4 linked regions of the Callithrix jacchus genome follow. The protein of the gene in region 1 purifies or fractionates together with the protein of each later gene. This does not show direct contact. Links are inferred from orthologs where the notes say so. Each region holds a gene or a part of one and is shown on either strand. Other genes may lie near its edges.

Region 1 (3,500 bases):
TTGAACCCGGGAGGCAGAGATTGTAGTGAGTCATGTAGAAAATGTAAAAAATAGTGGTATATAATCCGGGCCTGGATGACAGAAATCATAAGTGGGTAAATACCAAAATGATCAAAAAGAGTAAGGAAGAGCCATTTATAACACTACCACGAAAAGACCATTTGTCCTTATACAATTTTAAATGGGGCCTCTTAAAAGAACTGCTGTGATACATAGTTCTTGATGGGTAGCTCCAAAAAGAAGAAAATGAAATAATGAAAAAGGGACTCTCATATACAGTCAGTAAAGTGAAGCATTTATAATAACCTGATAATGCAATGCAATCCAATGCAATGCAAAACAGAACACACCTTTGTCTGAGCAGGTATCTTGTTCTGTATATTCAGCGTCATGGTTTCCACTTTTGGAGCAGCACTAGTGAATGGTATCTTTGGCAGTGGTCGAGATGTTGTCAGCTCTGGACTCTCTACGTCCTCATCAGCTCCTGGAAAAATAGGCAATCATGACACAGATGTCTCCATGATCAGGTACTATTGCCTGAGTTGACACTGACAGAATCATGTTCTTTCAAAATGGGGGCTCCTTAAGACTTCAGCACAAAGCTTCCTGTGGTCTTCACACCATGAGGAAGAAGAGATTTCAAAGGTGTCTGTGGGTAGCCTGGCAAGTTTTTCCTTAATATTATTATCCTCAACACTCAAGTATCCCTTCTTTCACTTGCATGTTTCATTCTCCCTGCTTGACAAGATTTTTTCCAATCTACACGGAAACATGTTCCATTTCCGTTTTAAGAATACAACAGGCGGGGTGTGGTGGCTCACATCTGTAATCCCAGCACTTTGGGAGACCGAGACAGGTAGATCATGAGGTCAGGAGATTGAGACCATCCTGGCCAACATGGTGAAACCCCATCTCTACTAAAACTACAAAAATTAGCCAGGCGTGGTGGCGCGCAACTGTAATCCCAGCTACTCCAGAGGCTAAGGCAGGAGAATTGCTTGAACCTGCAAGACGGAGACTGCAGTGCGCCGAGACTGCACCACTGCACTCCAGCCTGGCCAATAGGGTGAGATTACGTTTCAAAAAAAAAAAAAAAGAACATAACAAAACAAAACACAAAACAGGAAAACCCTCCCATGGCTGACTCCTTATTTCATGTGAGTTCCTGACCTCTCTCCCCATTTTACAGGCAGATTCTTCCAATGGGGGTGGTACTCACTAGCTCTTGTCCTCATCATCTTCTCCACACTACATTCTACTCCCTCCAGGAGCATTTTCCCTGTCATCACTATTACTACTGTATTGTTAAGGTCACAAGTATCCACAGTACCCAATGGCACTTTTCAGAATCGCCTTCCTCTTGTAGAACTTCCTAGCACAATCACACATTGTCAAGTGCCATCTGAAAAACCCTATTTCTTTGGGCTCTTATGAGTTCCTGGCTTCCCCCTCACCTTTCTGGCTTTTCTAAGTCTCCATTCTGGTTTATCCTCTTCTACCTGAACACCAAATATCAAAGAGTGTCTGAAGGTCTGTCCCTAGGTCTCTTCTTACTCTACACTTCTTCCCTCATCCATGTCCATAACTTCAATAAGGGATGATCTAAGCACAGATGATACCTAAATTTACATCCTTGGCTTTTACCACCCCTCTCAAAGTCAGATTCATATATCCAGTGGGCTACCTGGCATTTTCACTTGAATGACTAAAAGGTACAACATACCTCTAAACATGTCCAAACCAGAACTCATGATCCTTTTGTCTTCTCCCCATGTGACCTTGTAGTGACTGAAACCCTCTGTTCCTATACACCAAAAACTCTGACTTCCTCTTCCTCACCTTGTTTTTGAATCCATTATCCAGTCCTATTATCTTCTTATTATCCCTCCACTCCTAACACCTTTCTATAGTTCCAGAACCACCACTGCAATCCAAGCCACTGTGACCTTTCCATAAACCACTGTACCTGCCTTCTTCCTAACAGGCCCCATTCAGCCCAGTCCTCTGGCCACAAATTGTCTACTGACTTCATCATCCCCTTGTTTAAAGATCTTACAATGGTCCCCCACTGCTCTTGGAAAAAATATATTAAGAAATGCCTCAGCCCAGGCTTGTGTGATCCAGCCCCTGACTCGCCTTCTCAGCTTCCTTGAGCATCATTTACCATGTGCTCCAGCCATGGCATCCTAATCCTTCTGCCAGAAAATCTCACCTACTTAATTCCTAATCTACCCCCAGACCTCAGGGAAAACCTACCCTCTGTATTAGGTCAGAGATCTCTGTTAAATGGTTTTTTAGCACCACCCTTCTTACCCTGATTGCACTTATTGCAAATTTATAATTATGCATTTGTGTGTGTAACTATTAATTAAAGTCTCCCCTACAAGACTGGAAACTCTGTAAGGCCAAGGAATTGCTCGCTGAGGGCCTAACATAGTGTCTAGGACATAACAGACTCTGATCTGGTATTTGTTCAACAAGTGACTTTCTGGGCATGATTTCTATTTGTTGTTGCTTTTTCACCAGAATAGCATTTGAGAATTTCTGACATTCAAATAAAACATTCCTTTTAAGTTGATCATTTGTCAAATTTGTAACAACTCAAACGAACTCAAACTCTAACAATAACCAGGCTTCCTCAGACAACAATGAATGATAAATACCTCTAAATTCCTCAAACAAAAGAAATTGGGTATTTTCCACAGAATAGTATCAATGCACTAAGCAGGTAGGAGAGCAACAGGTGACATGCTGGAAACATGTGCAATGGCTATGGTTCATTTCTTTCTTTTTCTTTTCTTCCTCTGTCACCCAGGCCAGAGTGCAGGGGTGCGATCATGGCTCACTGTAGCTTTAAACTTGCAGGCTCAAGCAATCCTCTCACCTCAGCCTCCTGAGTAGTTGGAACTAAATGTATGCGCCACCATGCCCAGCTAATATTAAAAAAAAATTTTTTGTAGACATGAGGTCTCAACTATGTTGCCAGGCTGGTCTCAGGCTCCTGAGCTCCAGGGATCCTCCTGCCTGGGTCTCCCAAAGTGTTGGGATTACAGGTATGAGGCAATGTGCCTGGCTCCTGGATGGTTCTTTTCTTAATATATCAACTGTCTCCTTTAATTTCAAAACATATACATTTACTATTATAGAGAAGAAACGGCAGGGCATGTTGGAATAAATGCAGAGTTTGGTATTTAAAAAGCAAACAAATCTACTACTGGTTTTGGCATCTATTAGCTCTGTACTCTTAGGCAAGTCATACTTGAGTCTTATTTTCTTCATCTGTAAAAGGAGCTTCTAATAACTAACCCATAAAGGTACATATATGTCACAGATACGTATCTCACAGACAGATACATATTTAAAGCATTCTGTATGCATGAACTGTTATATATACAGTTAATTAATAATGATGGGTCCAGAAATAGTACACTTTTTTATCAGCTGACTTAATTATCCATCAACATTTTACATATAATTTGCTTGATTTGTCCCTACAATGA
Region 2 (4,136 bases), on another chromosome or scaffold:
ATGGTCGGCTCAGGCCAGCCCTACCGCGGTGTGGTGGCTGCCCACGTGGCGCCCAGGAAGAGGAAAAATGGCGGGGCGGGGTCGCCAGGCGTGGGCGGGGCCAGGAGTGGGCGGGGCCAAGGGCCGCAGAGCCTGGCGCGTAGCCGGCGAGATTTTGGTAGGGTCGCACCTGTTGCGTGATTCCCCCATAGTCCGGCCGCAGAAGTCCGACCGTAAATGCCTAGGGAGTGTTGAGAGAAACGTGGACGAGTTCCGGGTCCCGCTCTCTTGGGAGCACGTGGCCCACTTGCCTCTCGATTGCGGGGTTGGGTGGTCGCGACGCCGGGGTCGCCTTGAGGCCAGTCCGGCTGCCGAGGTCTGCGGGAGTCCGCCTCCGGCCAGCTGACAATTTTGAAAGACTACCTTACTTCCCCCATCTCAGTGCCCGGGCGAGGGCCCTTGGAACGACTTGGCCGGGGTCTGGGCCCCGACCCCCCTGCCCTCCCTCAGGACCCAGGATTTCTGCTGTGCAGACCCTCGTGGGCAGCCTCCCCTCGGGACTCAGGCAGCATGGCCTCAGGTGAGTGTGTGTGCGGGTTTTGGAGGGAGGGTCTCTGGGACAGAGAAGTGCTGTGACCAGGGTGCCAAGAGAGTGGGAGTCCCAGCGCAGCCTGCAGTACCTAGGGAAGGCGGTCAGGTCCTCCTAGGAGGGCCTGGGGAGCAGAGTCAGAGTGTGCAGAGACAGAGGAAAAATCCGAAGAGGCTGGGGTCTCTGTCCCAGACCCCCAGATAAGGGAGTCTCCTGGCCTTCCTAGGAGGCACCTTTTTGGCGACGGTGGAATTTTCCCAGCACGAGCTCCTCCCTCCTGGGCTGGGATTCTCGGTTCTTTCCCCTCCTCCCAGAGCTGGGCTGCCCCTGAAGCTGAGGGTCAGATGGGGAAGGAAAAGGGGTGCTGGGTTTTCACGGAGTATGTAAGCCTGCCCTGCCCCGGGAGGACTGTATTTGAGCTTGGGCTCGCTCGCGGCTGAATTCCTGTTTGTTATTCTTTTTGGAAGGACCAGCTAGCCTGGACTTTGGCTTGTTTGCCCTGGAGCCCTGGCATGATGGGGTGAGGGCTCTTGGGGACTTAGTGGAGATCTGGGGGCTGGCCCTTCCCCGTCTTGTTTTCTGCCCACCCACTCCCCCGCCCCCTGCCAGGCCCAGACATCATCAGTCACGTCACTCCAGGGACTGAGGAGGGAGGGGAGGAATAAGGGGCAGAGATAGAGGCCCCACTTCCCGAGGTTGCCTAGACAACAGGAGAAATCGTGGCCAAGGCCTCTTCCGCCTGCGGAGCCGCTGCTTCCTGCATCAGTCACTCCCGCTGGGGGCGGGGCGGAGGAAGGGGTTGGATGTGGCAGAGCCAGGCCCCAACCGGTGCCGCTCAGACTCCCCCGCTGTCGCCGCCGTGGTCCCAGCCATGGCATCCTATCCATCTGGCTCTGGCAAGCCCAAGGCCAAATATCCCTTTAAGAAGCGGGCCAGCCCGCAGGCCTCCACTGCAGCTCCAGGTGAGTGTGCTTCCTGGCCTCAGGATAGATGCTAGGCTCTGTCCCGCCACCTCTCGCCCAAGCGGCTGGTCCCTCAGAGGGGGGCCACCTCCTCCGGCATCCTTCTGCAGTGGTGCCCCTCAACCTCAGTTCCAGGGCCGGCTGGCTTGGAAGGTGGGGTAGGGAGGTGGGGGGGTGGATCTGAGATGTCTGTGCCAGGGATGCTGTCCTGTCAGAGCAGTGGGCATGGTGTGGATGCAGCAAGAGGTGTGTATGCACGTGTCAGCGTGTACATGTGCTACGACTGCGTGCGAAGCGTGTGTGAATGGAGTGGGGGGGTGTGGGACTGACTGCTTTGCGGACTGGCCGCTCTGACTGGCGCCTGTGCCTTTACCGGCGGGCTCAGGCTGTTCTCCTGTGGCTAGCTCCTCTTTCCAGCACCCCACATCTAGATCCCTTTCACTGGGGGTCTGACATCTGGGCACAACCATTGCTGGCTGGCATCCCACAGCTGGGGGCTTGACTGTATCTGTTGTTTGCTATTTGCTCATTCCTGGTCTATGTTTTGAGCCTCCTTAGGAGCATGGGGTGTCCTTCGTCAGGTCTGTGCAGGGTTCAGTCTGGGGCAGCTGCCTGCACTGCGTGTGCTCCTGCACCCTTTGGTTCGTCTCTCACTCTAGTAAGCATCTCTGCACCATTGGAGCAGGCAACGTGGTGCGGCAGTGTCTGTCTTAGTGAGGGCTTAGCTGCCTGGCTGTGCGCTTGCAGAGGAATGTCTGCCTGCTGTCTGCCCCCAGGCCTTGTGGCTAAGAAAGGACCCACCCTGACTTTGATGACCAGATCGTGCTTACTGCTCCCACCCCTGCAGCAGTCTGTAGCTACAGCCCGATTATCTACATCCCCTATTGTTTCACTGAAGATGCCTGGTGCAAGGTCTGCAGTGTCCGGAGGTCTGTGCCATCCAGAAAGGGTGTCCTCTGGGTGGGTCCCTCCCTGGCCCTGTTTGGGTCAGCAGTAGGACAACTGGTATAGATCTAGCCAAGAACCAGAGACCCTTTGGTGGTGAGATGGTAAGAGCATCTGATACTTGTGGGTCAAAACCGTGGACACCTCGGTGCCTACTGAGGCAGTCCTGGCAGTGTGTGAGGGGCTCCTGGTCGGGAGGTGAGATGGGGTGCTCAGAATCTCGGAGTTGGTGGGAGTGGCTGTGGAGTGGTCTGCTCTGGCTTTTGCTTGATTCCTACATGAATGTGCGGTGCTGGCCCCTAGAGAAAGGGCCAGTAGGGAGCTGAGTCTTCTAGGACCGGCCTCTGAGAGCATAGAGGTTACTGCCCATGTGTCACCTTCAGTGAGCCCGAACAGCCCTGGAGAGTGGTTTGGCAGGCTCGGGGATGGCGCTGGCTGTTGGGATCTGTGCTGCTCAGCCCAGGATTGCTGTGGAGCCCTAGACCTCCCCTGCTAGGAGAGAGGCTTGAGATTTGGGCCTTTGACTCGACTCCTGGTGTCCCAGTATGAACCAGCCATGGGGGTCTGCGGTCAGCCTCCTCTAGATGGAGTTAGAAGTGGTCTGGGGCCATAGGTAGGGAGGAGGTGTGTAGAATCAGGGCTCTTGAGCAAGAAAAGATCTTACGCTCTGGGGGTGAGGCAAGTTCCTCTCTTTTCTTTTTTTATTTTTTGAGACGGAGTTTCGCTCTTGTTACCCAGGCTGGAGTGCAATGGCGCGATCTCGGCTCACCGCAACCTCCGCCTCCTGGGTTCAGGCAATTCTCCTGCCACAGCCTCCCGAGTAGCTGGGATTACAGGCACGTGCCACGATGCCCAGCTAATTTTTTTGTATTTTTAGTAGAGACGGGGTTTCACCATGTTGACCAGGATGGTCTTGATCTTTTGACCTCGTGATCCACCCGCCTCGGCCTCCCAAAGTGCTGGGATTACAGGCGTGAGCCACCGCGCCCGGCCAGTTCCCCTCTTTAGTCACCCGCATCTCCACTCGTGCCAAGTTCACTGCCCTTTACTGGCCTTTGCCTTCGCCCTGCACTGGGCCTTCCACCGTTCTCAATGGGTGGGGCGACAAGTAGAAGGTATTTGAGGGTCCCAGGAGTTTGTAATTGTAGGCCCTCACCTCAGCACAGCCTGGTGTTATGCAGAATGCTTGCAGAGCCATTATCTCTTATGGCAGCTGTGGCTAGGCAGGAAGGGACCACATACTGTGTCTCACTTGCAGATGAGGACAAAGCCTCCCAGAGGTAGGTGGAGACATGCCTGTCGGCAGGAACAGAATCAGACCCACACCCTCCACATCCTAGCTCCCTTTCTCCCAAACTTATCCTGGACAGTTTGTCCCATCCCGGATGGTAGCTTGGAACAGGCATTGCAGGTCCAGGAGCCTGTGAACCAGTCCCCTGAGCAGCTGGGTGGCGAGGAAGCCTCAGTGACTGGGCCATTTCCTCAGCTGCCAGCCAGCTCCTTCCCCAGCAGAGACCCTGTCTCTCCTGAGGGACCCCATAGTCAGGGCCCAGAGGACAGTGGTGAGCAACAAGGCCACTGCCAGGGGAAGCCGACCTGGGGCTGTGGGTGTGGAGAGAGCTGCTCCTCTCCTTTTTCTCCCCTCTTACCCTTTGGCCAGC
Region 3 (4,015 bases), on another chromosome or scaffold:
GCTAGTTATAAAGTTGGCAGAGTTCTCAACCTGAGCACTGATGACATTTGGGGTCAAAAATTTTGTGTGTGTGGATATTATCCTGTGCATTGTAGAAGTTTAGCAGCAACCCTGGTCTCTACCTGTTAGATGCCAGTAGCACCCTTTCCGGGTTAGGGTAACCAAAACTGTCTCCAGGCACTGTCAAATGTCCCCTGGGAGGCAAAATCACTTGAGAACCACAGAGTTAAAGTAAGATTACACAAATGAAAACCCAGCTCACAGTTAGGAAGAAAAACTTAACAGCTGTTTTTAAAAGGGTAGTAATGTGATATATAATTCAAAATTATGTCCACTGGCTAGCCTCTATATAGTCTTATTCTAAGAAGAATCGGTATCAAAATCTTCAAGAAAAAAAGGATTCAGCAACTAACAGAGTTTGAAAACAAGAGTATTAGGGGAAGCCCCAAATATTACTTCATCTAGAGAATTCTTCTGTCCTCTGGTCATAATACATGCTTTTTAGTTAATAGTTTGTGATACTAGAAAAGGACAAAACTAATGGGGACACAGAGCACTTTGCCCTCCTCAGCTGAGATGGCCTAGCAGACAGCTGCAGAACAAATTTCAATCACAAAGATAATGTTGTGAAACAGATACTCAAGTTACCAGAATAGAGAAATAGCACAAACCCATGTAATAGGTTGCAAGCATGTTTTACGGGATAAAGTGATTTAATTTTTAAATTATGGCAGGCCTGAAAAAAAATTAAAGACTTGCCTTTCTTGCTGGTTGCTATTTTGGAAGCAATAAAGACACAGCTCATATAAAACTGTATTTCTTCTGCCAATTCACGTTTGGCTGTAGAATTTTCTCCTCTTCCCTCTCCGGGCTCTTGACATCCCGCTAGCATCCCAAGACAAAGGCAGAACTACAGGGGAGTGGCGCTCAGACCCCTGTGGGTCTTTTCTCAGGCAGAGAGAGAATCAGATTCTCCACCTGGAACCCATAGAGGAAGGATCGCCAGAACACACAGCTTTTAAAACATATCTTTACCCACACGTACAGAAGGACAGGTTAAAATATATTCTAGTCCTCTTTCTCTCACTTCAAATTCCATCAGTGTTGTAAATTGGCTCATCCTACGCCCCTTTCTTCTTTCCTTTAGACCAGTGGCTCTCAAAGTTGGATGTGATCAGCATCCCCGGGGAACAGGTTAGAAATGCAAATCTTCAGCCCCTACTCCAGACTTAGGGACTCCCCTAAAGTCCAGGAACCCCTGATTTAGGCCAGTGTTCTTTCTAGAATCATAAAAATTGTTTCTTAGAGAAAGCAAAACTGCAATTCTCATTCCATCCTCAAACCTGCTGCAAGGTAGGTATTAGCCCCACGTTAGGGATGAGGAAACCGGCTCTGGGGTTACAAGTCGGCCCAAGGTCTCAAAGCTAGTCACTGCACGGGGAAGGTTAAAGTGTTTGCACTTCTTTTCACTACTGAAACAAATTTATCGCAAGTTGTTAACATCTGGATTTCTTGCTGGTTGGCTGGTTGGGTTTTGTTTTTGCTCTTTCAGCTTTCGTCAATTCGGAAAAATATAAAACCGAGTGGGTGAGAGGAGTGTGCCACATGCCTCGGTTCTTCCCGAGTCGGAATTTAAGGGCAGGACTCTGGAAAGGTGTTTTTCCAGTAAAGATCGTTTTGTTCTGCTGCGGCCCGTCCTGTCTTTGAGGGAAATACACTCTGTCCCCCACAGCAGACACACAAGCGGCCAGAGCTGCACGGCGGGGCCGCGGGCATCCCGACGCGACAGGTTGTCTGCGGGAAGGGAGCCCGTCAGCCGGGGCCCGGCGCGCCGCGGCTCGGGGCTGGGGAGACTGGTTTACGGGGCAAACTGGAACACCCCAAAGCCCGGGGGACGCCCGGGCCTACGCCGCAGCTCGGGAAGGAGGGGGCGAGTGGTGAACCCGAAACCGCTGAGGGCCGCGCGGCCAGAAACCACACGGACCGCTAGGGTGGCAATGAAGATCCGGGAGGAGCGCGCAGGCTGTAGAGGAGAGAGTGGGCGAGGACCCGGGAAATGGAAATGGGGCGGGGAGAACGGGCCGGCACTCACTGTGAGGGTCGCTCTTCTCCCGGACCCCGTCCACTCGGCCGTCGGGGTGGATTCGCAGGAAGAAGCCCCCGTTTTTGCAGTACAGCCGCTTGGGGTCTTTGAAGTGGCCGGGCGGGAAGGCGCCGCTACCGCCGTCCTCGGGCAGGGCGGGCAGCGTGGTGATGCTCCCGGCTGCCATGGTCCCTCCGGGACCCTGCCGGGGACCCCGAGCCGCTGGAGCCGAGCGGGGAGCCGCCGCCCCCCGGCCACGGCCCCGGCCTCCGACCCGCTCCAGGGCACGGCCCCGGCCCCGGCCCCCCAGCCTCCCGCCCGGCAGTGCGCGGCCGCGCCCGCGGGCCCCCAGCCTCGCGCCGCTTGGCCGCTCTTCTGTCCGCCGGCCTCTGGTGCGCCGCGAGCCGGCGGCCCGAAAGCTGGGGTTCAGGAAAGGGTGTTTCCGCGGCCGGCGCCTGGGGAGAGCCGCCCAGCAAACTGCAGCGCCCGGGATCCCGTTGCAACCGCGGGCACCGCGTCCGCTGATCTGGCACCCGCCGGGCCGCGGCGTCACATCTTCTACATCTCCACCCCCGACACCCACCAGCCACCCGCGCCCCCGGCTCTCCTCCCTCCTGCGCGCCGCCCCCCTACTCGCTCGGGGTTTTCTGGGGCCGGCCTCTGAGTCCGGCGCTTCGGCCACAACACGCAAGCGCGACATCTGTCCCGGGGACAGCCGGGTGGGGGAGGGGCGGGGGGCGCGCCGGAGGCCGCAGCAGGACCCCGGTAGTCCCGGGGCTCCACGGTCCCTTGTCCCCCAGAAGTCACCCCCGCCCAACCCCGCACCACCCAAACCATGTTTAGGCTTTCTCTACACTGCGGGGCTTTTGCTGCGCAACCAGCCGTGACTCAACTTTTAAAAGTTTAAATACAACTTTCTCCCCCATTTTTTCCCTTGCTAGCGTTTCAAAACGGGGAAGCTGTTTCCACCCCAAAGTAGAGAAGTCGGAATCCAGGGAAGATTCTGTGTCAGAACAGGCTCTGAAAATCTCTAAATCACCAAAAGACGAGGGGTACACGTGGGGCATGAACTGTTTAAAAATAAAGGACAGAGACTAAAGTCGTCTATCAACAAAAGGAAAGAAAGAGGCCAGAGAAGGGAAGCAGATTGGGTTACTGACCCAACTTGAATTAGACAACACAGAAAGGTGAGGATGAGGCCCAAATCCTTATCGCGATAGAAGCGCATTAATGTCTTAACTCGGAGCTGGCATTTGCCCTAGCTGAATTGTTAATACATTTCTTGGAGACAGAGTTAATTTCTGTAAATCCCAAATGTAAATTTGAAGTTTCTTGCATTTTGGTAATTTTCAGTAGGATATAGCAGGTGCGACAGATGATTAGCAAACTTGCAGGGCTTTTGCTGCGCAATCAGCCGTGACTCAACTTTTAAAGGTTTAAATACAACTTTCTCCCCCATTTTTTCCCTTGCTAGCGTTTCCAAACTTGCTAATCATCTGTAGCACCTGCTATATCCTACTGAAAATTACTGTTTCACTCAGTGAGGGAGATAAGATGGGTAGCATGAGTAACACAAATACCAGTAGAAAGTAACTAGACCATAGAAGAGTAAGACTATGTGCTGTGACATTTCAGACATGGGGTAACTCAGTTGGGGAAGCAGGAGATTTAGGGAAGCTTCTAGAAGGAGTTGCAAGTGCTTCCTTGTAGAAACATTAGGTTTCAAAAGGTCATGTATAAGTGCATTTTTCTCAAATCTCCAAGAGGGCTTTAACTCCAGATTCATTTCTAGAATGTTAAATATAGGAGTGTGAGTAAATTCTCCGAAGCTTTAAAACCAGGCATACTCTTCTTTCTTCTTGCAGCTAGTGTATGTTCTATAGAGAAGGGGGAAAAAAAATTCCTCATTCATTACTAGGTTTATGGCTGAAG
Region 4 (3,994 bases), on another chromosome or scaffold:
GGGCTGGGTTTCCTGCTGCGATGAACATGCCGAAGCCCAAGCCCTACCTAACTCACAGCTGATGTCACCCACAGGACCAGGGGAGCTGAAGACTTCACTCGAAGTCTGTCAGGAGGCAGGGCCGAGGTTCTAGACCACCATCCAGTTGCTTCAGGGGACCAGTCAAGGGGCTGCTTTGACTGAGCCTCAGACTCCAGCTAAATCATGGTAGAAATTCCTACAGCTGAATTTTGCCCATCTAATGAGGGAGTATCGGGGGGAGGTCTTTCCAGGCTTGGGGGTGGGCATGCAGTCCAGTGCTACATCCTGAAAGTTTAGCTTTCAACATGCAGGCAGAGTCAAAGGCCAATTGTCTCCTCCAAAGCACTTGGGGTCCCAATCTCTGAACCCCTAAAGGAGAATCCACTGGAGGCTCTGCTTCCCAGTGGGTGGAGGAGGGGAAATGCAGAGGAAGGCACTAGAGTAAAGGGTTGCTATGGTGATGGAAGTTTTAAAACAAGGGGAGGGGGAGGGGAGATGTGTTGGTTAGGTCCCTTCTTCAAGAATTTCCTGAGACTTTAGCCTGGCTTCTTCTTCAAGGTTCTGTGACCCAGGTCCCCATCAAGAAAGGGGATGTGGGGAGACTGAGAGAATTTAGAAAAAAAGAGAATGGGGCAGAGACACAGAGAGACAAAGAACTTGTGATGGAAAAGGAGCAAGGAAATGACAAAATAAAAGGGACACAGGCACAAAGGGCAGGAAAGGGTAGGTGGACGGGAGTTCTGAAGGGGGCTGAAGAGTGCCCAGCAGAGCCCTAAGGCCTCTAAATCCCTGGGCCAGGAGCTATCCATGGTACCTGGACCTTTGAGACTGCACCCTCCAGTATCCCCCACATATACACTGAACTCAACGTAGGAAGCACAGCCAAAAGGAGGCCAGCTCCTTAGAGCATCTTGGTGGGGAAGAGCCCAGCTGCTACAGCGCCCGCCCCCCCCCAGTCAGGACAGTTCCCAGCCCCTCTCTCTGCCATCACAGCAGCTTAGGTATGGCAAGTCCAACATGTTGAAGGCAGATGCATGGGGGGATGGAAATGAGGCTCGGATGCCTGGCTGCTTCCCTTTATAGTCCCTCTTCTCAGTTGGCCCAGCTGTACCTAGACCCTCCCAACCAACCCCTTCCCCCACCTGCTATCCTCTCCAGGCTTTCAGTCCCCAGAGCCCCTCTTACAGCTCTGCTTAATCCCCTCTCTCCACCCCCCCCAACAGCAGATCCTGCCATGAATGCCAGAAACGGCATCACAAGCAACCCAAAAACAGGATAACAACTGCACAGCCCTTCTCCTCTCCATGCCTCAGTTTCCCCGAATAGAAACCATGGAATCTGGCCTTCTCCCAGGGCAGAGTACTGCTTGCCTGCCTGTGAGTAGTGGCTAGGGCGTGGGGCTGGAGAATAGGGTCATCAGAGCTATGTGAACAGCCAACCTAGGAGGGCACCTGGGAGGTCCACACCAAATGCTGTATTAGAAAAGGGAAACCCTTGCCCCACCCTGGAAACCAACCTGATTCTGAGGGGAGTGGAGACACCAATTTCTCAGTTGAGGAAACTGAGGCTCAGAAGTCGCTGAAGCTGCCAATAATCAACTCTGAGGCTGGGGGAGAACACCAGGTCTCTGAAGGTAGTCCTGGGGGCTCAAAGCCTGAGGTTGGGGATAAGGGGAGTACAGCACAGGGACTGGACTACTGCAGACTCTAAGCTTTTAGTGTGGGACAGAAGGCCCTGATCCTTAGGAAGAAACCTAGTGGAGCAGGCTCTGCCTGGGAGGTGCAGACAAAAGCAATTTGGCAGAGCTATGCGGGGAGGGGGCTGGGACTCAAGAGCCCAGGGTCTCTGCCAGACAGTACAAGCTGGGGAAGGCAGCTTATGCTGTCACTATCCCTGCCACCTCCAGCCATGGGCCCTGCTCCCCACCGTGGTGCCACCCTGACCCCCTTCCCAAGTGCTGCTGGCTCGCCCCCGCTGGCACAGCAACACACATGCGGAAAGCACACGTGTGAGCACTAAGCCCCGCACCTCCCAGCAGGAGCATGTGCGCCCCCACCCCCACCGTGCACGCGGGTCCGTGCATTGGACCCCCGGCTGGTCCCCAGGTGAAGGCTCAGAAGCTGAATTTTGGCTGGGGGCTGCTGGTCCCCAGGGGCTTGGAGCCTCCTCCCCCACCCCGCGGCAGCCCCGCCCAGCCCCCTCCGGGTTGTCGCCCATAAAGAACTCTCCGTTGTCATGGAAATTAGTGACTGCTAAGCAGGAGGGAAGGGGCCCGGGGACAGTTGGGAGGGGCTGGAGGCGGCTCTGGGAACGCGGAGGGACGTCTCAGCTCTCGGCCCCTACCCTCACAGGGGACCACGAATCTTCGAAGGTTAATCTTTTCATAACTCCAAGCCGCAGAGGCTTCCCCCTGGGACCCCCAAGCCGTCTGAGGTAATGGGGAACTTTAGCCCGACCCCGCACTCCGTCCCCCAGATCTGCAAAGCCCGCGCGCTCTGACCCCGCCAGGACCTCGAGCCCTCGCTGCGCCTCCGCGCACTCGGCATCCGGAACCTCAAGCCAGGGAAACAAACCCCCAAGGCCCCCCAACGTGCTTTCGGGAAGCGCCCCCAGCCCGGCCCGCCCCGCACCTGCAGCGCCGGTTGGTCACAGGGAGGAAGTGATCGCGGGCTCAGCGGGGCGCCGAGGGCTCCAGGGACGGCGGGCAGAATCCGCTCCGAGCACGCGGGGCAGACGCGGCGCCAGATGCAGCCGCTTCGGCTAGCGAACCTCCAGCATCGCCAGCCGCTTGCCGGCACCGGATTCGCACCCCGGGCCGGGGGCGGGCTGGGGGCGGGGCCTTCCAACCGGCCCCGCCCCGACCCTGGCGGAGCCTTAAGGGCAGAATCCCACTGGAGAGCAGGCGCGCGCGGGATGGCACCGGTGCTGGTGAGCACTGGCCTGCTTAGCCCTGGCCAAGGTCCTCAACGGCTCCATTAGGCCCTCAGACTGGGGCCGGAGGAGGCTTCCTATGTTCAATGTAAGGGGTGGGGAGTGAAGAGTTAGGGGAAAGCCTAAGTCTTGGAGTTGCGGAGGATCCCTTGCCAGCCATTATCTCTAGGGGACCCGGGCTTCGCCCAGCTTCCCGAACCCGACCCAAAAGGCAGGACCCGCTTAGAAAAACCAGATGGGCAGTCGGGCTAGGGCAGGCTCCCCTACAGACTAGCATCCTCTAGTTAGGAGCAGTAAACACACAGAGGTATGTGTTTGCAAGTAGTCAGTGTGTATATAGTGAGGGCCCTAGACTCTGGTAGCAAAGTCTCTATCCCACCCCACCCCCAACTCCTGCAAGGCCTCTGGTCTTTCCCAACCATAAGTCCCAGCCAGGGTGTCTGGCAGAGTCAGCCCCCTCCTGTGTGGCACCAAATTTCCCAAACTATAAAAGTGACCTGTGACATGGTGTGGCCTCTGCTTTCTTTTCAGTCTAATCACTCTAAAACACTTCCTGAGTAGCCTCACTCTAGGTGGCCGGGCCTGGGATATGGGGACACAGGAGAACTGTGGCACCAAGGTATCCCAACTGGCTTGGGCCCTGATAAGAGGGAGGAGGCTCAGAACCACCAGGAGGAAGCTTTGAAGCAAGTCCTTGGTCATTTCTCTGTCCCTTGTCAGTGAGGCTCATGGACCCAAAGCTGGCTCCATGCCACTCACAAGCCCTGAGGACCATCCTAAGGCCAGTATATGAAAGCCAGACTCAGGCCTCAGTGTCTGGAGCTGGGCTCTATCTTGCCCCACTCCTCCCAGTGAGCCTCCCAATCCTGCTGCAGAAGAGGGAGTTGGGGTCACCCCCAAACCCTCAGCCATCTTGAGGCTCCCCTGCATGGCAACCCATGGCTGATGACAGGAGGGACTGCTGGTTTAGGGCTCAGACTGGAAGGCTAATGTAGGAAGTGACCACCTCAGACAAGGTTCTTCCAAATATTCCTCCAGAGGG

Evidence for each region. Proteins that work in one complex are often made in the same cells at the same time.
Region 2: the proteins of SDC2 (region 1) and AMPD2 purify together in Homo sapiens (co-immunoprecipitation; 3 studies listed by BioGRID and IntAct, counting the BioPlex papers as one, with this or other methods). This does not show direct contact. The link is inferred for Callithrix jacchus from reciprocal best matches to the Homo sapiens genes SDC2 and AMPD2.
Region 3: the proteins of SDC2 (region 1) and FGF2 purify together in Homo sapiens (affinity purification with mass spectrometry; 4 studies listed by BioGRID and IntAct, counting the BioPlex papers as one, with this or other methods). This does not show direct contact. The link is inferred for Callithrix jacchus from reciprocal best matches to the Homo sapiens genes SDC2 and FGF2.
Region 4: the proteins of SDC2 (region 1) and CAMKV purify together in Homo sapiens (affinity purification with mass spectrometry; 3 studies listed by BioGRID and IntAct, counting the BioPlex papers as one, with this or other methods). This does not show direct contact. The link is inferred for Callithrix jacchus from reciprocal best matches to the Homo sapiens genes SDC2 and CAMKV.

Annotation. Positions count from the first base shown.
Region 1 is NC_133517.1:30,649,788-30,653,287, forward strand, and holds part of SDC2 (syndecan-2), read right to left. Parts: intron 485-3,500; coding exon 351-484; intron 1-350. UniProt on the Homo sapiens protein: Cell surface proteoglycan which regulates dendritic arbor morphogenesis.
Region 2 is NC_133508.1:147,514,531-147,518,666, forward strand, and holds the start of AMPD2 (AMP deaminase 2), read left to right. Parts: upstream 1-1,336; 5' UTR 1,337-1,371; coding exon of another isoform or gene 1,372-1,439; coding exon 1,440-1,530; intron 1,531-1,701; exon of another isoform or gene 1,702-2,579; intron 2,580-4,136. UniProt on the Homo sapiens protein: AMP deaminase plays a critical role in energy metabolism. Catalyzes the deamination of AMP to IMP and plays an important role in the purine nucleotide cycle.
Region 3 is NC_133504.1:74,801,083-74,805,097, forward strand, and holds the start of FGF2 (fibroblast growth factor 2), read right to left. Parts: upstream 2,801-4,015; 5' UTR 2,784-2,800; coding exon 2,093-2,783; intron 1-2,092. UniProt on the Homo sapiens protein: Acts as a ligand for FGFR1, FGFR2, FGFR3 and FGFR4. Also acts as an integrin ligand which is required for FGF2 signaling. Binds to integrin ITGAV:ITGB3.
Region 4 is NC_133516.1:32,480,156-32,484,149, forward strand, and holds the start of CAMKV (caM kinase-like vesicle-associated protein), read right to left. Parts: upstream 2,801-3,994; 5' UTR 2,652-2,800; intron 1,676-2,651; 5' UTR 1,538-1,675; intron 1-1,537. UniProt on the Homo sapiens protein: Does not appear to have detectable kinase activity.